Linked DNA regions of Notamacropus eugenii. The protein of the gene in region 1 purifies or fractionates together with the protein of each later gene. This does not show direct contact. Links are inferred from orthologs where the notes say so. Each region holds a gene or a part of one and is shown in the gene's direction. Other genes may lie near its edges.

The links.
Region 2: the proteins of EAPP (region 1) and ECD purify together in Homo sapiens (affinity purification with mass spectrometry; 3 studies listed by BioGRID and IntAct, counting the BioPlex papers as one, with this or other methods). This does not show direct contact. The link is inferred for Notamacropus eugenii from reciprocal best matches to the Homo sapiens genes EAPP and ECD.
Region 3: the proteins of EAPP (region 1) and TSSC4 purify together in Homo sapiens (affinity purification with mass spectrometry; 3 studies listed by BioGRID and IntAct, counting the BioPlex papers as one, with this or other methods). This does not show direct contact. The link is inferred for Notamacropus eugenii from reciprocal best matches to the Homo sapiens genes EAPP and TSSC4.

The regions. Positions count from the first base shown.
Region 1 is NC_092872.1:319,045,284-319,052,836, reverse strand, and holds the start of EAPP (E2F-associated phosphoprotein), read left to right. Parts: upstream 1-4,540; 5' UTR 4,541-4,720; coding exon 4,721-4,794; intron 4,795-7,553. UniProt on the Homo sapiens protein: May play an important role in the fine-tuning of both major E2F1 activities, the regulation of the cell-cycle and the induction of apoptosis. Promotes S-phase entry, and inhibits p14(ARP) expression.
Region 2 is NC_092872.1:237,071,554-237,079,391, forward strand, and holds the start of ECD (protein ecdysoneless homolog), read left to right. Parts: upstream 1-4,829; 5' UTR 4,830-5,066; intron 5,067-5,201; coding exon of another isoform or gene 5,202-5,248; exon of another isoform or gene 5,249-5,291; intron 5,292-5,466; exon of another isoform or gene 5,467-5,598; intron 5,599-6,887; 5' UTR 6,888-6,903; coding exon 6,904-7,108; intron 7,109-7,838. Other genes in the region: primary cilium assembly protein FAM149B1, read right to left, coding at 1,459-1,588, 3,275-3,379, 5,202-5,248. UniProt on the Homo sapiens protein: Regulator of p53/TP53 stability and function. Inhibits MDM2-mediated degradation of p53/TP53 possibly by cooperating in part with TXNIP. May be involved transcriptional regulation. In vitro has intrinsic transactivation activity enhanced by EP300.
Region 3 is NC_092873.1:25,467,686-25,473,828, reverse strand, and holds TSSC4 (U5 small nuclear ribonucleoprotein TSSC4), read left to right. Parts: upstream 1-3,866; 5' UTR 3,867-4,503; coding exon 4,504-5,379; 3' UTR 5,380-5,634; downstream 5,635-6,143. Other genes in the region: CD81 antigen, read left to right, coding at 552-614. UniProt on the Homo sapiens protein: Protein associated with the U5 snRNP, during its maturation and its post-splicing recycling and which is required for spliceosomal tri-snRNP complex assembly in the nucleus.

The DNA.
Region 1 (7,553 bases):
TGAGATTAGAAAATAACTTTTCACCACTTTTGCAAGAACCTTAAAATCAGGGATGTGCCTCCGAACAGAAATAGAGAATTATTTTAAGTGCAGTTCTTTTTCAAGTACATTTTCAAATTTTTAAAGTTATACAGGCTACTAAAAATGCTAATGTGGTCATAACTGGGGCTATCACTACCCCCTCTTTCAAAAAAAGAAGAAGCATGCTAAAAGCGGATACAAGTAAAATCCATATTGACATAAAAGATTTAGAATTAAGCAAACTCATAATGAGACCAAAAGAATGAATTTTTCCTGTACTTGGAAAGAGAATAAGAAAAAATGACAATGCACAGCTAACAAAGTATATTCAAAGCTTCTGAGACTTGGCTGAAGGGTTAATTTTATACAGGCAGGAAGAAGGCTCATGAATGTAAAAGCAAAGCTGACCATCAACAGGGTGCAAGGTGAGAGCAGATCTTTTACCTTCAGAAGAACATTGAAACCACACCAAATATTGGCAATGTTATCCTCAAAGAATACACAAACTTGCAGTTTCTTCCACTTCTGTAAAGTACTGTAACCACCAAAGAGCAAAGGAAATAACCACTGTAAAAATCAGTTTAATGAGCAGTAACAACCCCTTTCCTTTCAAATCTTTCTTCAAGCATTTGTCTAGCAAAAGAATGGCAAAGAATGGTAAAGTTCCATCTGCTTATGATTTATGGCTAAACAAAATGCCAATGATCCTAGGATGTCTTAGTCACAAGACAGACCAAGAACACAGTGCAAAGTTGAGATTCACAGAATCATACTGAAAATATCCATACTCAATCAGAAGAAGGCCTGGAAGTGCTCTTGAAAGAAATAGAAGGCCTGGAAAAGCTCTCACAAGTTTGGTTGAAGGTTGTTTTTTTTTTAATGAAAACAGTATAGTACAACTGAAGGTAAGTAAATCATTAAAATGACAATAAAAACTGTTGTACACATGTAATTAACTTCTGTTGATAACTCTCATAGCCCTATGATGTGTGTAGTGAGGAAAATTAATTTTAATTCTGTCATTTGATTATTAATATAAATTTGTAATAACGTCTCTTCTGTCAAAAGGCCATCTCTTCTACTAGTTTAAAGAGAAGCCCCTGAACAATTCTAGCTAAGGAAATGTATTAAGTGTTTTCTCAAGGTATCTGCTCATTAACTAGGTAGTTCTGGCCCCAGCCCAACTGGGACTCTAAGTTCTGTTTAGTAGAGGGGTCTCAAAACTCATGACCTAGTCTCATTCCTCAGCTGACCTCCCCCCTTGACCATGAAGCTCTTAGTCCATTTCCTCATCAAATGTCTACCAATCAGGGGTTTCTTTTCTCTAGGCAAGGGAGTTTCCAGTAATTTGCTCTCAGGAAGACAGACTGATGTGGTACTGTCCCTTGGCATCTTTGGTTACCTAACAGAAACCACTGACCATCAATTTATTGATTATTGACTAGCCTAGTTAATAAATTTATTGTTAATACTCATTTTACTTGCCACATTCTGCAAAATAGGCACATAAAAGACTGAATAAAAGATTCATAATGAAAAATGCTATCTACATCCAGAGAAAGAATTGTGGAATTTGAAAGCAGATCCAAGCATACTACTGTCTGACTTTTTTTTCTTTCTTGTGGTTTTTCCCTTTTGTAATGATTCTTCTTTCACAACATGACTAATGTGGAAATATGTTTACTACGAAAAAAAAAAGACTGTGGTAACCTGTAAGAGGTGGATAATATAGTCCCCAGTACTGTAATTTTTATCAGTCCTATTGAAGTACCATTGCTTGACTGGTAAATTAATTTTTTAAAAAAGTAATTTAAAGTAATTTCTCATCAGTGCCTTTGCTCTTTATAAATTCTAAACATAGGAAGTTTTCCAGACCTTGAGTAAGAATTCAGAGACTAGCCACCAGACATCTCATCCATTGAGGACCACAATGGTTATTAAGTGCCATTCTTCCATAATTTCTCTTTCCTCAGGCTACATACACAAAAAAAAGAATTTTTAGATCTTCTAAGATGTCTGCTTTCAAAGAGGCATACTTTATTCCCCTCAAAACTCTTCTTGATCACATAAAAATATCAATATTCAAGGTGTTATCAGTTCTCTGCAGTTGAGAATTTCAGCCAACTTCAAGGGATGCCAGGCTTCTAAGTATGAAATTAAAAAGTGGTTATCTGTTATATCAGTGCAAGAAGGATCCCATGGTGCTCAGTGTCCCTAGTGGTCATAGGCTTCCTGCCTAATGCCCAGAAAAATCATGTTAGTGACTGAATTCAAGATATACTGGAGTCAGGTACACTCATTAGAAGGTTATTGCAATACTCTAGGCATGAGGTAATGAGGGTCTGCAGTAGAATGGTGGCTGTATCAGAGGAGAGAATAGGGTATATTTGAAAGATATGGCAAAGGTGAAACCAATAGACCTTGGCAATCGATTGACTTTGGGGAATGGGAAATAGTGAGGAGTCCAAGATAATTCCCAGGTTGTGAGCCTGAGGGACTGGGAGGATAGTGTTGTACTCTTCAGTAATAGGAAAGGTAAATAGGAAAGAAGATTTAAGGGGAAAGATAATGAATTTGACTTGAGTTTAAAATGTCTCCACCAACGTTGGGGCATCAACTATTGTTAATCCTCCTCTCCATCCTCCCCCCTCCTCCCTTCTCCCGCCCTCTACCCCGGAAAAGCCCTTGCAACAATCATAGTCAGGAAAAATGAATTCACTGAGTAATGCATCCAAAAGTATATGTTTCTGCATTGTGTCCATTGATTTCTCTGTCAAGAAATGGGTAGGTCCTCTGGAGACATGATTGCTCATTGCTTGATCAGAGTTCTAAGTTGATTTTTTTTAAAAATGTTATTCTTGTATTAATTGTTCTCCTGGTTCTGCTCATATCACCCCATGTTATTTCATAGTATTCCAAATTCTCTGAAATCTTCCCTTTCTGGTATTACCCACAACAATATAATAAAATTAAATTCAAAATAGGAGCTTTGAAAAAATATTTTAAAATTAATTGGAAACTAAATCATGCAATCCTAAAGAATTGAGAGGTTAAAGAACAAATCATGGAGATAGAAAATTTCTTCAAAGAAAAAAAAACAACCCAACATATTAAAACTTGTGGGATTCAGATAAGACAACCCTTAGGGGAAAGGCTGTGTCACACAAAACAGTAAATTGGGAACACAACTAAAGAACAAACAAACAACTACAAAGGCAACATATCAGAACCTCTCAATTCCACATAAAAATAGAAATTCTTGAAATTAAAGATGATATTAATAAATAAAAAACAAAAAACAAGTATTGAACTCATTGAATTAATACATTTTGAAAAACCTAGACACTAGTCTGATTTTTTTAGAGTGGAAAACAAGATCATTTATATCAAAAATGAAAAAAGAAGAATTTATAACAAATGAAAAGGAAATAAAGGAAATGACCAGAAGTTATTTTGCCCAACTCCATTCCAACAAGACTGATAGTGTAAAAGGAATAGATGAATACTTACATTTTTATTAGTATTTATGTGGTTTTTGTAGAATTAGAGTATCTTTCTAGAGCTAAGAGAATATGTGCATGTATGTGTGTATATATACATATGCGTGTGTATACATAATACACACGCATATGTTTATATTAAAGTTTGGAAGTCTTCATATTCCATCAGAGAGGATCTTTACTATCATCCACTACTATTAAGCACAGTACTAGAAATGTTTGTATAATAATAAAATAAGAAGAAAGAAATTGAGGGACTAGATGAATAGAAATAAAAAATTAACCTAGCAATTTAAAATTAGATTAGAAGAGAAAATGGTAAATCTTACTGAAGAAAAAACATATTTCTGAAACTGAAACAGACCAAACAGAAATCAGTGGTTCCATGGGACACTAAGAAATATAAGAACAAAATTAAAAGATTGTAAAAAGAAGAAGAAGAAGAAGAAGAAGAAGAAGAAGAAGAAGAAGAAGAAGAAGAAGAAGAAGAAGAAGAAGAAGAAGAAGAAGAAGAGAATATAAGCTATCTTATAAAGCGGCAGGGATCAAAAACACTTAATATTGGTTAAAAACAGATTAGTTGATTAGACAAGGAAGAATCAGAAACAGTAGCACTCACTGATGTTTAACAAATCCAAAAAAATAAATTCTGTAGGAAAGAAGTCTCTATTTTATAAGACCTGCTGGGAAAACCAGAACTCAATCTGGTGGAAAGAAAGTAGGCTAAGAGCAACACCTTAGACCATCTTGCACAACAAATTCAAAATTGATACCCGAACTGAATATTAAAGGATATACAAAATTTTTTTGCTTTCTCAAAGAAGGTGGGAGAGAAGGAGGGAAAGAATCTGGAATTAAAAAACCGAATGTTAAAAATCGTTTTTACACATAATGGAAAAATATGAAATATTAAAGAAAATAAAAACAGCCCTCTTCAAGGGCTGCAGCTGTAACTCTGCAGCTACTGTAGCAAGACCCTGACGCTCCACTATTTGCCACCTCCCCTCCCCGCCCTGCCTAGCCAAGCCCCGCCTCTCCCTCCCTGTTCCTGGCGTTCCTTCCAGGGACCTATCAGCGCAGGCGCAGTAGCAAGGAAGCGGAAGTGCATCTCGCTGCTTCCCTTTGAAAGTACCACTCCAATCTGGTGACTCCGTGGATTCGTTCAGAAGGGCTGTGCTGGGCCGTGGGTCCCGCTCATCATGAGCTGGCTTTCTGAAAATGATGACCCGTATGTAGTTGAAGAGCCCAGTGACGAGGAACCAGCTTTGAGCAGGTAGGCCAGGCGCGGGGCCCGCTCTGGGTGGACAAGACGTCCCCGACTTCTTCAGTCGTCGGAGCTGGGCTTTCCAGCGTCTGTCTCTGTTCGCAGAGTGGCCCCGGGACAAAGCACAAAGGCAGATGCAGGCTTGATGTCAGGAAACTATGACGGTTCCAGCCGTTCAAGAAAGAAATGGGGCCTCGGGAGGGAGAGTGAGCTCCGTTGTTCTGGAAGTGTTCAGGCAGAGGCCAGGAGTATGCCGAGCCCATGGGATCTTGGGGGTGCTTCCTGAGGAACAGCCTTTGAAACCATCCACACAAGTGGGAGGGGCCTCCTGGGCTCAGAATTTAAGAAAAAGCCGGGGGATAGTTGGGAGCCAAGCTTGCTGCTCATGGTCTAATAAGAATGCAACAACGTTGTACAAACAAGCTATATGCAGCATAAATTGATGATAATCTTAGAAGGAAGGCTCTATTGTGAAGAAGGATTAGAAAAGTCTTATTTTTATGTTTTAATGTAAATAGCATTTTATTTTGTCCAATTTCCAATAGTTTTAAACATTCATTTTTAATGGGATTTTGAGTTCCAGTTTTTCCTCCTTCTTCTCCCCCCACCGCAAGATGACAAGCTATCCGATATAAATTATGCATTTTAAACGTATTCAATATGTCACGTTATGAAAGAAGAAACAGAGCAAAAGGAAAACACACACACACACACACACACACACACAAGTGAAAATAGTGTGCTTCAGTCTACATTCAGATTCCATCACTTCTTTCTCTGAATGTGGATAGCATTTTCCATCTTGAGTCTTTTGGAATTCTCTTGGATCACTGAATTGCTAAGAAGAGCCAAGTTTAACATAGTTTATGAGCACACAGTATTGCTGCTACTGTTCACAATGTTGTCCAAGTTCAGCTCATTTCACTTAGAATCAGTTCATGCTAAGGCTTTCCAGGTTTTATAAAAGTCTTCTTGCACAGGGTAGGATTTTAGCTGGGACTTGAAGAAAGCCAGGAGGCAGAGATGAAGAAAGAGAATACCGGCATAGGGGATAGCCAATGAAAATGCACAGAATTGGGAAATGGAGTACCTTGTGAGTGGAACATCAAGGAGGCTGGTGTTATTGAATAGTGAAATATGTGGTGGGGACTGGAAAGGTAAAAGGGGCCAGGTTATAAAGGACTTTGAGTGCTAAACAGAGGATTTTATATTTAAAGGTGATTGGGGTCCATTGGAGTTGATTGAAAGTGGGATGGGGGTGGGAGAAGGGATAGGGAATGGGTAGCATGGTAACATGGACAGGTTTGTGTTTTAGAAAAATATGTTTGTCAGCTGAGTCGAGGATGGAGTGTAGTGGGGAGAGACTTGTGACTTTTGCTCAGACATGACATGATTGGGGGGAATGAGTATTTATATAGCTTCTACTATGTGCCAGGCACTTTGGTAAGCACCTCACAAATATTGTCTCATTTGATCCCCACCAAAACCCTACAAGGTATGTGCTGTTGTTATCCTCGTTTTGCAGTTGAGAAAACTGAAGCAAACAGGTTAACTCACTTGCCCAGGCTCACACGCCTTAGTAAGTGTCTGAGTCTAGATTTGAAGTAAACTTACTGACTCCAGGCCAAGGGCCCTATCTGTTGTGCTACCTTGCACCCTCATGTGGCCTTTGATTACCAGGGTAACGGCGGTGTCAGTAAGCTGAGATGAAGGAAACTAGTTGACCCTAGTTGAATGAAACTTATAAATAACCTTTCAAGTCTCATAGCATCCAAAAATTCAATCAGACTTTTATGTAAGGGCAATATGGTTAAAAGATGGGAGACCGTAGATGAGAGAACGTGGAATGTTACACATTTTTCAGAACCAATGGATACAACTATTTTGATGAGCTACTTTCCCCATTTCTTTTAACAACTTTGTAAGACTAAAAGAACATTATATGTTTGTATGTGTATGGGTGTATAAACTAGCATTTATTTAGTGCTTTAAGGTTTGCAAAACATTTTTACATATTTTGTCTTGCTCAATCCTCACAACAGTCGTGGGGTATAGGTGCTATTATTATCCCTGTTTTACAGATGAGGAAACTGAGGCTGAGAGAAGTTAAGTGACTTATCCAGTATCACATAGCTAATTAAATGTATGAGGCAGAATTTGATCTCAGATCTTCCTGACTTTAAGTCCAGTACTCTTATCACTGTGCCATTTGGCTGGTATAAATATAAAAGATATTAAAAACAAGATATTTTTTTTTAAGAGACAGATTTGTAGAATAGAAATTATACCAGACTTAGAACCAGATGATCTGGGTTTAAAGGTACCAATTACATTACTAACATACACATTGTGTTCACCCTCACTTGTCCTTACCCCCATCTGGATCTAACGCACTACTCTGTAAAAGAGAGATGATGTTGGCTGTACTTTCTACCTTACTGGGTCCTTATGAGACTCAATTAACAAGCAATTAAGTGTTTACCATGTATGTTATGTTGGGTATTTGGTATACAAAGACAAAAATGAAACAGTCCCAGCCCCTCAAGGAGCTTTCATTGAGTAGCTTACATTGATAAAATTAAATATGTTCGTAGAAGTAACTTTGAAAACTGAATCCCTATATAAATAAATGTAAAAGAGAAATAAAAATAAACGTATCAGAAATTTCAAGTTTCACTTCTGTTGTCCCAGCACTCCCCACCAAAATTTAGAGACTCAAGATTCTATACTCTAGGAGACAGAAGCAAAGAACCTGGATAATCCATATA
Region 2 (7,838 bases), about 82 Mb from region 1:
AGAGGAAGATAAAATATACCAGAAGAAGAAAAAAGAAAGAACACAATCTCTGCTCAGAGTGAATAGGATGATTTATTGGATGAGAGGGGCATAACTACTCAAATTTTACTTCAATTTTCTTTGCTACAGAGAATGATCTTTGGGAAAGATAAGAATAAAAATGGTTAAGATAAGTGAAAAAATGATAATTGATCAACTATTTGCCTTCAATGCATTCAAATGACCAGTTCTAAATAAATAATACCCCAGGGTATTAAAAGAACTGGTGCATGTGACTGCTGACTTACTGTTCATTAAATGTGATAAATCATGAAGAGTTAGAGGGCTGTTGCAGGACCAAAAAAGGCAAATGATGCCCCAATTTTTTAAAAAGTGAACAGGACACAGTCTGAAATTTTTAAATCCATTAGCTTGGCTTTGGTTCCTGGCAAAATTCTACAGTACGCTGTTAAAGATCTAGTTTGTTAGCATCTAGAAAAAGATGATCACTAAGAGCCAGCATGACTTCATTAAGAATAGGTAATGCCAGCACAGCTTAATTTCCTTCTTGAAAAACTTGCTAATTAGTAGATAAAGGGAATATTATATACTGGTATAAAGAGATTTCAGGTAGCATTTGATAAAGTTTCTCATATTATCCTTCTTGAAAAGACGGAGGGATAGGGGCTAGATGATGTTATAGTTACCTAGATCTAGACCTCAAATAAAGTCATTAATAGGTTACTATCTCCAGTGGAGTGAATCAGGGATCTCATCTTGGTCCTGAGCTAGTTAACATTTTAATCAATGGCTGGTTGTATAAATGATATGTTGGATGAGATTCAGGATCCAAAAGTACCTAGATGGGTCAAACAATAGGCCAAATCTACTAACACGCTGCTTGAGATCTCCAAGTCCTGCTCCTCAGACTCAACCAAAGTACTCTTCTGTCTTTCATTGGGAGCATGCTGCCTAGTGCTCCCAACTAAGATCTATGGTTACATGAGTGATAATTCTGTCTCCTCCTCCCCATCCTTTCTCCCACGCTGCTTGTTTCCTGTCCCCACACCATCTGCTGCTGTACCCCTTTCACTGCTTGTCTCTGTACCTTATTAAAGTACGACTGCAGCCCCACTTCCCCCTTCCTGTTGCCATCCTGGGCTTTCCCAGTAAGTACCCAAAGAACTGGGAGTGCCTGTCCCTATTTCACAAATAAACAATTCAGCTTGAATCTGTGCTTAAACTTCCATATCTGTAAAAGGGTAATGCTAACTTTCTTAACTCACAGTAGATGAAAACTAGGGGTACTATGTACTAAGCAGTATTACAAAATGCTACTTTCTAAATACAACTACATGATAGTATTATTTTAATGTAGCAATACAGGTAGAAAAGTGGGAAGAGGCTGGTAAATTCTGACTTTCAGTTTTAGGTCCTACCTTACAAAATATTCTACCAGACCAATTATATGTAACTCACATCATATCCCCAGGAGAAGTCTGAGCTGCCTTCAGTAGAGATCCCTGTATCAGCATAACTCAGAAAGGCAGATCTGGAATTGCCAGTGTCAGTTGATGTAAAAGGTGATTCTTGTGTGATGTCAGATTCACTAAATCCACAATTTGAGGAGGAGAGGGGAAAAAAAAGGAAAAATTCTTAGATATTTTTAAGTTTTGAAAATTAAACTATAAAAAATTTGTATACAAATGTGCACAGGGATATAATAGGGAATTTCTGAAATGTACAATTTGAATAGTTATAGGGCATTTCAGGGTGCCATGGTAACCAGCACTCAATATAACTATAATGTAACAATAATACATAGATAAATGGAACTCAAATTAATATAATTAATACTCTAATTTTCAAATATTATAACTGCTGAAGCTCATCAACTCTCTAAATATTCTCTCACTTTTTTTAAACATCTGGCATAAAACAATTTCATCATGAGCAAATGAGAGCCTAAGGGAATAAAGCTGGTGAAAAAATTTACAAACATGTTTCCCTGATAAAGGCCCCATTTCTCAAATATCTATATAGATAACCGAATCAAATTTATAAAAACACAAGTCATCACCCAATTGCTAAATGGTCAAAGGATATGAACAGGCAGTTTGCAGACAAAGAAATGAAAACAATTTATAGTTACATGAAAAAAAGCTCTGAATCACTATTGATTAGAGACATGCAAATTAAAACAACTTTGAGGTACAATCTCACACCTATAACAAAAAAGGAAAATGATAAATGTTGGAGGGGATGTGGGAAAACCTGGATATTAATCTACTGTTAGGAATGGGAACTGATCCAACCATTCTGGAGAGCAATTTGGAACTATGCCCAAGGGCTATAAAACTGTGCATACCCTTTGATCCAGCAATACCATTACTAGGTCTGTATTCCAAAGAGAGTTTAAAAAAAAGGAAAAGGACCTATATGTACTAACATATTTTATAGCAACTCTTTTTACTGTGGCAAAGAATTGGAAACTGAGGGGCTGTCCATCTACTGGGGAATGGCTGAATAAGTTGTAGCACGTGATTATGATGGAATACTATTGTGCTATAAGAAATGATGAGCAGGATGGTTTCAGAAAAACTTAGGAAGGCTTATATGAACTGATGCAAAGTGAAATGAACAGAACAAGAGAAAATTGTACAAAGTAACAGAAATATTGTAAGATAATCAACTGTGAATAAGTTAGCTATTCTCAGCAATGCAGTGAACCAAGACAATTTCCAAAGACTTATGATGAAAAATGATATCTACTCCAGAGAAAGAAATGAGTCTGAATGATGATTAAAGCATACTTTTTCAATTTTATTAATATTTTTGCATGTTTATGCATTTTCTTTTGCAACATGGCTAGTGTGGAAATGTTTTGTATGACTACATATGTACAACCTATGTCAAACTGCTTGCCTGTAGGGAAGGTGAGAATTTGGAACTCAAAAGTTTAAAAAATAAACGTTAAAAATTTTTGTATACAGGTAATTCAGGAAAGAAAATGAAAACTAAATGTTAAAAAAAAAGAAAAGGTCACACAGCCTTACATACACAGACTTGAAAAAAGTGAACACAAGTTAATTATAATAAACAATACAATAAAATGTATGTTTTTGTTTAAAAAAAGATTAAATGAGACACCATAACACATTTACACAAAACACTCTGCAACTATACAGTGCTACACAAACTGTATATATGTAATTTATTATGTTGCTAACTTCCAAACTTAACAAAACTTCCATCTGTAGAAGATCTAAAAAAATGGTACACCTAGCATTTTTACCTCTGATAACTTGAGTCTTTTTCACGGCTGTCATTACTAGGGGTAATTTCATCCAGCTGATCTGGAAGAGGATGATGATCAAGAACATTTTTGGCAATTCCTCTCCTACAAAGGGTAAAACAATATTATATTAGCTGTTAAAAAAAAGGACATTTCTCAAGTATTTGTTTAAAGTTAATCATTCACTTACACAAGAATGAACTTTGGATTAAATTATGCTTATGATTTCCACCTAAAAAGGACTCACTTCAAATACCCTAGAGGATCAAAACCTTGGTGTTTTAATATTAGAGGCCATCTAGCATGTTTTGAAGGATTATGGTATCTGCTATAAAATGGCATGGAGAATAATTTAGATTAAGTTCTGTATCTCAAAGTCTGATGAGATTCCTTATTTAGGCTCCAATGGTAGAGAAAAGCAAGAAAATTACCTCCCTAAATCAGACAAAAGCATGTTGATAGTGCTTATAAAGTATCACCTTTTGTATATAAAGATCAAGTCACAAACCCACAGTGAGCAGTGAATTTGCTTTTACTTGTTTTTTTTTCAGCAGTGAGGAATGAGCTTGCATCTAAATTCTTCTCAACAAGTACCTCTTATGGCAACTGAACCGAAAAATCGCTAGCCACATTTTGGGCATTAAGTTGTGGCTCTGAAACAGACTCTGCTTTTGTTAGTTTCATACTAACCAGCACTCAGTGATTTGCAACTGTGTAACATCACCAGGAAGATCCTGGTATTGGAAAGCTGTTTTTTTGTGTCAGGAAGCAGCTACTGCAGAATTGATAAACTTAATGCAATCCTAACTTATTCTATTTATGGGACCTACATAACTGTCCACATGCAGTGTCTGTGCAAAATATATCTATCAAGGGATTGTGGATTCAACCGCATTTCATAATCTTGGAAGTGTGTGTACGTGCACACAACCGTTTCCTGTATAGCTTCATAGACTTTTCTCTTCCCAGTGGCTGCGGGTCTTTTTCAGAAAGTCATGAGTATTCTGGGGCTTGATATCATCAGTATAATGTCAAACACAAACACAATCACTTTGAGGACCTTTGTACTTATAAGGAATCCCTCCTCTAGAGTCCCTTTGGACTCTACACTTTCCACAACAGTGCAAAACACCTCTGCTTGCTGATCAGAGCATCAGGGAACAAATGTATCTCTTTAATTGCATGTATCAAGGAATATTATAGGATCTTAACACACGCAAGGTAGAAATCTGGTTGGAGAAATATTAGCAACCCTGCCTTGTACTAGGCAAATCCAAGGATTCCAAATCCAAATTCCAATGATTTTCTCTCCAGACGGGGAAGAAATGGTACAGAAACACAATGGGTCTGAGCGAGTTTCTTGAAAAAAGTGATGTAGACACCAAAGAAACGGTTTTTTGCAAAAGGAGGCAGATCTATCAAGTAGAGAGAAAAGGTGAACAGAAGTACAGCCCTGGGTTCTGTACTGACAGCTGTGAAATGTTAAAAACAAAGAAGCCAGCCGGCCCACGTGCCAAATGTGCGCCTTCCTTGGGCTCCCTGTCTAAGCTGCATCATCTTCCGCATGGATCCTCCCGACAGACAGTTCTTTTGGGTATCTTTTCACTGATTCACTTTATGCCTGGCACATTTATCTAGGTGCTCGGCTTCCTGCAGGCAGGGGTTCTTTTATTCCGTACGTTTGTACTGGCCCACGACCGACCTCCCCACGACGCTCGCTACAATTATCGCGATAACTGCTCGGCTCTGGGTCGTTTCCGAGCAGCCCTCTGGGCAGCGCACGGACCCTCAGGTATGCCTCGCGCGGGGCGGGGGTGACGGGACGGACGGGACCCAGGCCCCCCGGGGAGCACGCTCTCTTCCCCGTCCCCAGGGAAGGCCCCGCTCCCTCTCCTCTCCGGGCTAGGGGCGGCAGGAAGGCACTCACAGCTCCACGCTCTGCGGCGCCGCCTTCCGGGTGTATCTGGAGATCATCTTCCTTCTCCTCAGGTGCCACCGCGGAGGGGAGCCCGAGGTGGGAATTTCCGGACCTGTCCCTCCGCCCGGCTCCGCCCCGGCCGGCCCCGCCCCGACCCCCTCCCGCCACTCCCTAGCCCCCGTCCCGCCCCGTCGCCTTGACGACCGACGGTCCTCTACTCCCGCCTCCCTCTCCGGCAGCACCGGAAGTGGCGGCGCGCGGCGCACGGCAGTGACGTCAGCGGAGCGGCGGCGGCGACCCCGCTCCTGTCCTCGGCGCTGCTAGCACCTCCCTGGCGGGCCCCGGGGGGCGGGCGTGGGGCCGCCGGGCCCCGGACACCTTGCCTGCGAGCGGCTGCCTGAGCCGGGTGCGTGCGGGCGGCGGGCGGGTGGCGCGAAATGGCAGCCGGGCTGCGGGGGAAACGGGCCCAGCCCCTGCCGCCGTGGCCGGGAGGCCGTGGGGGGGCCGCAGGACTGAGCAGCCTTTCCGGGGCGCTCTGGTCCCGGCGCCACCGGCCTCCTAACTGCCCCCGCTTGTGCCCCCATTTTACCGTTGAGGACCTCGGAGCGGGACGCGCGCCTTCGGCAGCCCCGCCCCCTCGGGGGGAATCCCGGGGTGTCTGACGTCATCCCGTGACGGGGCCGCCCCCCCCCCCCCCGGGGGCCTGCCTTGGGCCCCTCTGTTTGAGCCGCTCGAAGGTGGGGGGGGATCTGCTGGCCTTTACCGTTGCACCCCCCGCCTCGTGGTGCCTTCACCCTGCCCGCTTCGGCATCCGGGGTCGCCTCCTCTGGCTTCTCGAGCCGCGATTTAAAGACTCCTATTATGTAGACAATTGCGGGGAATTTTTTTAAAAAAATAGGCATTGTGGGTCAGAGAATGGTAAGCGGAGGGCTTCTCTGGGTTATGATAGAATAATAGCTAATTTATAGGTTTCCAAAGTGCATTACGAAAAATATCTCATTTTATCCCCACAGTCATCCTGGGAAATAGGTGTTGGTATTATTATCCCTGTTTTATGGAGGCAGAAACTGAAGCACATAGTTGTTAAGTGTTTTGTTAAGGATCGTTCGCTAGTAACTCCGCTTGAGGGTAGGATTTGAACTCCGATCCAGTATTCTGTCCTCTGCTCTGTGTAGCTGCCTCTTGGGGAGGGAGGAGGTTCACATCATAAGCAAACTAAAGGAAATTAAGTCATTTGTCCGAGGTCACACGGGTAACCCGAAATTCAAATCTATTGCAGTTTTTCATTTTCACCTTGCTTCTCCCAGTGTAATTCCTCCAAGATTTATTCAGAACTTAATATGTGCAAGACCCTGAAAGGCTGCAAAAATGAAAAAAAGTGTGATTCTTTTCTTTAAAGGTTCTATAAGCGCTTTAAAGGAAGGAACCACGGACTATAATACTTGTTACTTGAATTTGTCTTACTTTTTTATGTCAGTGAAGACTTACAGATGTTGTACAAAGAGGCCAAAAATACATGGAGGAGCTGCAAGGTGAAATGAGAATTCAAAAGCAGGAAGAATTTCAGAGGAGATTGCATGAAGAATGTGACATTTAAGCTGCACTTTGAAAGTATATCGTGAAGATTTTAAGAAATAGGGATACCAGTTACAAAGTAACTTGTGTGATTCATTTTATTCCAATTTTGAAATACAGCTTTCCAAGAACAAGAATGGAGGGGAACATGAAGCTATCAGTGGCAGAAGATGCAGTGGAATATCATCTGTTTTTGTTACCAGAAGAACCAAGAGATCCAGAAAAACATAAAGAGGTCCTGCACAACTATATCCAAGCAATAACGACCCAGTATGCACCTCTGCTGGTTTCCTATATCTGGCAAAATCAGCCTTTTAATCTCAGATACAAACCTGCTAAAGGTAAAGGTCTATTTCTCATTTTGATGCATTGGATTCTTACAACTCATACTTATAAGAGGGGTTGACTGAGTTTTCATTATACTTCTCCCTCTTATTTCTCTGTCTGGTTGCTCCTTTTCAGTTGTCCCTCCCCATGATGGAGCATACCCAAAGGCTTTCTATTAGCTTTCTTCTCCCTCCATACCAATTCTTGTTCAATTATGTCATTTATTCTTGTGGATTTATTGATCATTTCTACTGTTAAGTGAACCAAACTGACCTCTAACTTAGGGATATTCAGAGTTGAACAGAGCAGGCTAGAGAAAGGAAAGTCAGGAATCAAACAGAAGTTTAATTTCAAAGTGAAGCACGCAGCTTGTAAACAAGGGTGCCCCATCCCCCTCCTCCACCCCCTAGTGGAGGGATACAACATATTGTGGGAAGATCTCAATCCTTACATCAATGTGCGGACAATGAGGGGTAATAGCAGAGAGACAAGTTTGATTCATAGTAGGGCTTCATGACCAGAAGTTGGATGCTTATCCAAACTCAGAGAACACCTGGTTTTGGTGAAAGCAATACAACAATTTTGTGATTTTGCCAGAGGGTGAACGCAAAGGATTGTTGTCATGTCAAGCTTGAAGCACAGACTACTTGCTGGGCTTTAGCCCTGGAAAACAGGGTATCTCCCAATATCTTGACACTATACAGATGAATCCCAGATCTCTATGACCAACCCTAGTTTCTCTCC
Region 3 (6,143 bases), on another chromosome or scaffold:
TCCAGAGGCTGGCAGGGCAGCACTTGTAGATAAGCTGGATGATTGTTCATTGATGGTGGAATCCCAAGTCGATGGCAGTCCCCAAGGGCCTTTGCTTTCTCTAATTGAATCCATGACATGGACAGGAACAGATGACACCAATCTGGGGGTGGGGGAGAGGAGAAGTGCTAGCAATGAGCTGGGCAGCCTAGGATGGATACAAAGTCTGGCATTAAGGACCAAAAAGCTATGGGGCAGTTAGGCAGCTGTTGTCCAGAAAGAGATCTGGGGGGTCTGAATGGGCCACAAGCTCCACAAACGCTAATTTGATCTGGGGCTGCCTTGAGAGCAGGACGAGGGAGGGAGGTGATTGTTCCCCTATGCTTGGCCCCAGTCAGATCTCACCCAGAGGACAGTGATCATTTCTGGGGGCCGCATTTGCTAAGCTGTAGGGAGTCTGGAGGAGGGGTGACCAGGGTAGGCCCTGTGTCGCATGAGGAGCAGTTAGCCTGGATAAGGAGAGATGGGGAGGACGTAGCCCCATCTTTAACGCGCTCCCCCTTTCCCTGCAGATTTTTGAGATGATTCTCAGCATGGTCCTGTGTTGCGGTATTCGGAATAGCTCCGTGTACTGAGGACCGCCCCTGGGGCTGTTCTGAGGTGTGGGCAGGCAGGAGAGGAGCCCCGCAACTGTCGTCGAGTGACCAGGAGACGTCTGAGAGAAATCCAGAGAATTATGTATAGAAATGTCTCAGATATTACCGTGCAGTACTTATTAGCATTTTTACTTTGGAGGGTTGGGGCATGGGGGTGGGGGAGGGGATGTTTTTATTTTTGAAATAAAGTTACCAGACTCATTTCTGTGCCTCTGGCTACACCTAGGTCTTGTGTAGCCAGGGCCTTGGAGGGGGTCTCCTGGGCTGAGGCCACGGCTCAGTGGGGCCCTCCCGGGCATGGAGGTAGGGCAGGGGAGGAGGCCCTGCTGGTCCTGCCTTCTGAGTGGGGAAGGAGAGAGCCTTGGGAGGCACCCTCCCTCCTGCAGCTGCAGCCTTTTTTTTTTTTTTAACCAATCTGCATTCTTTTCTCCTGCATCTACTTTTCTCGAGCATTTCTGACGTTCTCACACTTTCTGGCCTTGTATGTCTGACTTTGGCCCCTTAGACCATAACTTGGCTGTCCAAGACAGGCCCAAACCAGCTCACTTCAATAAAAAGGAAAGAACATCCAGACTGGTGTGGACCCTTCCCTGTGAGCCCTGCTTGGCAGGAGACCCCCTGGGGCTGGGCAGGGGGTTCCGGAGGGGGCCTTCAGTTCTGAGGAAAATTGACCTGTCCTGTGGAGGCTGAGAGAGGCCTGGGCCAGCTGGCTCTCCTGCCCTCCCCAGAGTGGCCTGGGCTGAGGGGAGCTGTCTCTCACCCTCCTGGCAGTCAACACTGCCAATGGCCACCTTGGCCTGTGGACATAGAAGACCATCTTTGGCCACAAGGCTCGGTCCACTTCACCAGCACCCGGCTCTCCTGCCTGGGACTTCCCCCATGGTCCTGGGCTGTTCAGAGGGGAGGCCCCCCCAGAGTGGGCAATGGGAAGTGGGTGATTGAACCTTAGAAAGCCTTAAAGGAACACTACCCAGAATGCCCTATGTTGGGGGGAGGGGGCAGAGCTCCTGGGGCCTGTCTCTTCCATAGTGCACTGGCCATGCACGTATGTGTGCTTACATAGATGTTGCATGTACTCGAGTATGTTCTGGGCCCAGGCTTCATGTCTTTCCAGGACTTGTTATTTGGCCTAGAGGCAGCAGTCAGGCCTTGGAGTTCCGTGTTTATGTTCTGTGGGCAGCTGGGCATCCTGTGGGGCATTCCCATAGAAGGGAGCCTGGCTGGGCCAGGAGGTGTCTCATGTGACGTGTGGAAGGAGAGGCCTTTGACACCTGGGTTTAACCACCATCTCCCTGTCTCCTGGGCATCTGCCCAGGTCTGGAGCCCAGGCTCTAGGATGGACCGCCGGCCTGCACAGAGCAGCATGGCAGGAGGTGGGCACCATCCCAACTGCCGTGAGGCTGGGGGGTGTCCTGGGCTACCTGCACGAAGAGGGAGATAAATCCCTCCAGCCTCCTGCCCCCAGGAGGAAGTGCCCCCCGGTTAGTTCAGTGCTGGCCCTGTACCCCAACCCTGGCCCCCAGAACCCTCCCCTGCCATCCCCAGGTGGCCCCAAAGACGGGGCTGGGAGGGCACTGACCGACAGAACCGCATGCCTCTCGTTGGCAGGAAGGAGCGCCTCTCACACCTCTCAGGCAGTCTCTGCTGCCTCTGCCCCAGCCTGGGAGCCCCACCCCCTCCCTGCTTCGCTCAGGGCCTCGGGGGGACAGCATGGCCTGAGGGTCCCCCCTTGTCCGTTTGCCTGTCTGCCCCACGCGGCCCCTTTTCAATCCATGTATCCAATAAAGCAAGTGCTCTGATCCGTGAATCTGCGGCTCTTTTTTGGGGGGCTCGGCCCGGCCGGCCTTCCTCTGACCGGCCCTGCGGCCACCTCCCACAGGACGCAGTGACCGCGGAGGGCTGAAGCCCCTTCCTGGGCTCCTGGAGTCCGGCCTCCCCGGGCAGCTCGGGGCGCCAGCGTCAGGAGGGCCGTCAAAGCTGACCCCAGACCTGTCCTAGCCGGGTGACCCTCCCGGCCTATGGCGAACCCCTCCAGCGTCTCTGCCAAGACAACCCCAGGCTCGGCCAGAAAGGGCCTTGGGGTCCAGGACCCCCATCTTACAGAGGTGGAAGCCGAGGCACGGAGGGCAGCTTTGCCAGCGGGGGCCACCCACGTACCCCTAAACACGAGCGCCCGGGGGCAAACTCCTCCAGACAGGGCCCCCAGAGGCGGGAGGGGGCCCTCGGGCACTAGAGCGAGGCCCGAAAGGGGTTGGGAAGGCTTTGAATGCCAGGGCCAGCTTGGGCAGGGAGCCCCAGGCCGGGCCGCCTGGAGCTGGAGAGGGGGCCCAGGATGGGAGCCAGGGTGGTCTGTGGGCCGCTCCCGGGGTCTAGGGCTGGCACGCAGTAGGTACTGGACGATGGAAGTACTAGAGCGGAAACCGGTCCCGGGGCCCCTCTTTCAGCACCCCGGGAAAGGACGCCTCTTCCCGCCCATCCCCCCAGGCTCCTCCAGGCTACGCAGGCCCCCACCCGGCGGCGGCGTCTGGGCAGGAAAGACGAGGCAACAATGTAGCGAGGAGCGGCCCTCCAGCCAATGGGGAGAGGGGAGCCTCGGCAAGTCCCGCCTCCTCCCCCCGCTCTCCCAGCCCCGCCCGGCCAGACAGGGGAGGGGGAGGGGGCCGAGCTGCGCGCGTTCCCGAGATGCCTACTGTGTGACGGGGTTGGCACGAAAGGCAGCAAATTGAATAAACAAGGACTCAGCCACCGGGGGCAAGGGCTCCTGTAGGGGGATGGGGCCTCGAATGCCCCATGAGCAAGGCGGGACATGGGTCCCCACCCTTCCTCGCTCCTCCGCGCAGCCCTGGGGCGGGGGTGGGGGCTGCCCCCTCCCAAGCCTGGCTGCGTCGCAGGGTGTGTGCTCTCGCCGGCTCCCCTCCCGACGCTCAGACGACGGGTGACGTCACTCGCAAAGGCGAAACATCCGGGTGGGCTCCCAGACTCCCCCCAGTCCCCACCCTCCCCCCAGACCTCAGTTTCCTCATTTGAAAACAAGAGCATCAGGAGTCACTCAGCCCCGCACTAGGTGGGGTGGCTTCTCCAGGGAGGAGGGAGGAAGGGAAGTGGGGAGGGCGGAACCTCCCTCCCCCCCGCCATATATATGCCTTCCGGGGCCCCGCACCACTAGGGCGTGCGGCGCTGGGAGGCTCCGGCAGGCGACGCTGTTACACGCCTCCACCCAGGCAGCGTCGCCACGCCCCTCACCGCCCTGCCCCGCGAGGCATTGTGAGCGTCCTCCGCTCATCCCACCCCCTCCCCCTTCAACCCACGCCGAAAAGCAGTTATCCGAAAAACCGCGCGAGGACAGGCCTTCCGGGAGGCCACGGCGCAGGCGCGAGATCCCGGCCTCATTCTCAGAAGGTCACGTGCAGAGGTTTTCTTCGGCGCGCTCGGTCCCCTGACTGTGACGTCATCGCGTTGCATTGTGGGGGTTGTCGTTTTCTTTTGGCCTAGCCTCCTGCCACGATGGAGTGCGGGGACTCGGCTTCCCAGAAAGCCGTGCGGGCGGGAGGCGGGGCCGTCTCATCTTCGAGGCCCAAGATGGTGACTACCGTTCCGGGGAGCTTCGCTCTACCCGAGGCAGGTCTCGGGGTTTGGGCCCAGGTCGGCGCAGCCCCGCCTCGGCGTCCCCCTCTGTGAGAGGTGGGGCTGGGAGCAGTGACCCCGAGTCCCAGTTTCTGCCCCTCCCCCATGACTGACCCTGCTTGGGGCTTCCGTTCCCAGCCTCAGTTTCCCCGTCTGCGCAGACTCTGACCCCCCGGCCTCCCCGGCCCCCGCACTACGGCCTGGGGACATTGAGGCCAGGCGCCAGCCCCCGTGGAGCCGGGCCATGGCGGACAGAGGCGGGGGCGATGCCTGGCCAGGGCCACCCGACTGCGAAGTCACCTCGGACACGGGCTCGCTCAGCGACTCGGACTCGGACTGGGACGGGCAGGAGGCCGGGCTGTCCCCGGGGGAGCCGCCGTGCCTGGAGGAGGCAGCGGCCTCGGAGGACGACGAGCCCCCCGCCGAGCCCCCGCAGGCCCCCGAGGGCCCCGTGCGCCCCTTCCACCTGCGGGGCATGAGCCCCACCTTCTCGCTGCGCAGCCGCAGCATATTTGAGGGCCTGGAGGGGGCGGCTCGGGCCCCCGCCCCCGGGACCCCCGCGGAGGCCGACCCCGACCCTTTCAAGCGGCCCCTGCCCCGCCCCGGGCCTGCCAGGCCCGGCCCCAGCCCGGTCCCCGACTACGTGACCCATCCTGAGCGCTGGACCAAGTACAGCCTGGAGGACGTCCCCGAGGGCAGCGACCGCAGCAACCGCGCCGTGGCCCTCGAGCTCCTGGGGGACCTGAAGAGGAGGGCAGGCGGCCAGAGCTCCGCGCCCCCAGAAAGCTGCGCCCCCTCCTTCAACCAGGACCCCTCGAGCCGCGGGGCCGGCAGGATCGTGTTCACCAAGCCGGCCAAGGCCGGCGAGCGCAAGCGGCCGCAGTGGAGGGAGCCCGGGGAGGAGCTGGTGGCGCTGGGCCACCTGGGCTCGGGCGGGGGCCCCGACGGCGAGGGCGACGGCGAGGAGCCCCCGAGGACGCCGGCGGAGCCCCAGGAGGCCGACATGCGGGAGGACGGGGCGGGCCCCGCCGGGGCCGTGGGCTTCCACGGCAGCAAGAAGAGGAGCAGGGAGCACCTGCGGCTGAAGGGGCCGGCGGAGGAGGAGAGCGAGGAGCCCTGAGCGCGGCCCTGCAGCCTACCCAGCGCCCTTGGTGCCCCGGAGCTCGCCACCCCGCATGGAAGACCTGCCCGGGGCAGCTTGGCCGGCCGCCCCATCCCCCCACGCCCTCCGGTGTGGTTGGGGAAGGCGTCATGGGGTGGTAACCAGCGGAAGGGAGCGTGCCCTCCTGCTGGCACTGGTGGCCCTGACCACACCAGGCGCCCAACCCCGCTGACTTGGTTTGACCTTGTGAAGACAATAAAGGGTTTCCCTGAAGTCTGAGCCTCCCGGGTGTCTCCCTGCCTGCCCACCTGGCCGCTGGGCCCACCCACTTTACCCTGAGGTACAGACCTCTGCCACTTTCCTTACGTCTGGGCTCCCTAGTTTGTCCTGGGTTGATGGCACAGGGATAGAAGGTACCCTTAGCACTGGCATTGGGGTTCACCCAGGACTCGGAGCATCCCTCTCTATTCCCAAAATAAGGAGATCCCTGCCCTCCACGAGTGTGGCCCCAGGCAGGTGTTTCCCCGAAGGGGACTTTGGGCCTGTCTTGGACCCAGATGCTGGGCAGCTACCTGCGATGGAGCGAAAGAGGGACTGGTTGTGGGATAGGCCATGGTGCTTTTGATTGGCCACCCGCCACCCTCCACCCTCCTGTCTCTCCCCCAACACACACTTTGCACTTTCAGGGTCCTTGAAACCCAGAGAGAAGGTCTGCTCTCTGAGTAAATCCCTGACTCATGGGGCCAGGGTTTCCTGCCACTTGGTCAGTGAATATTAGCCCA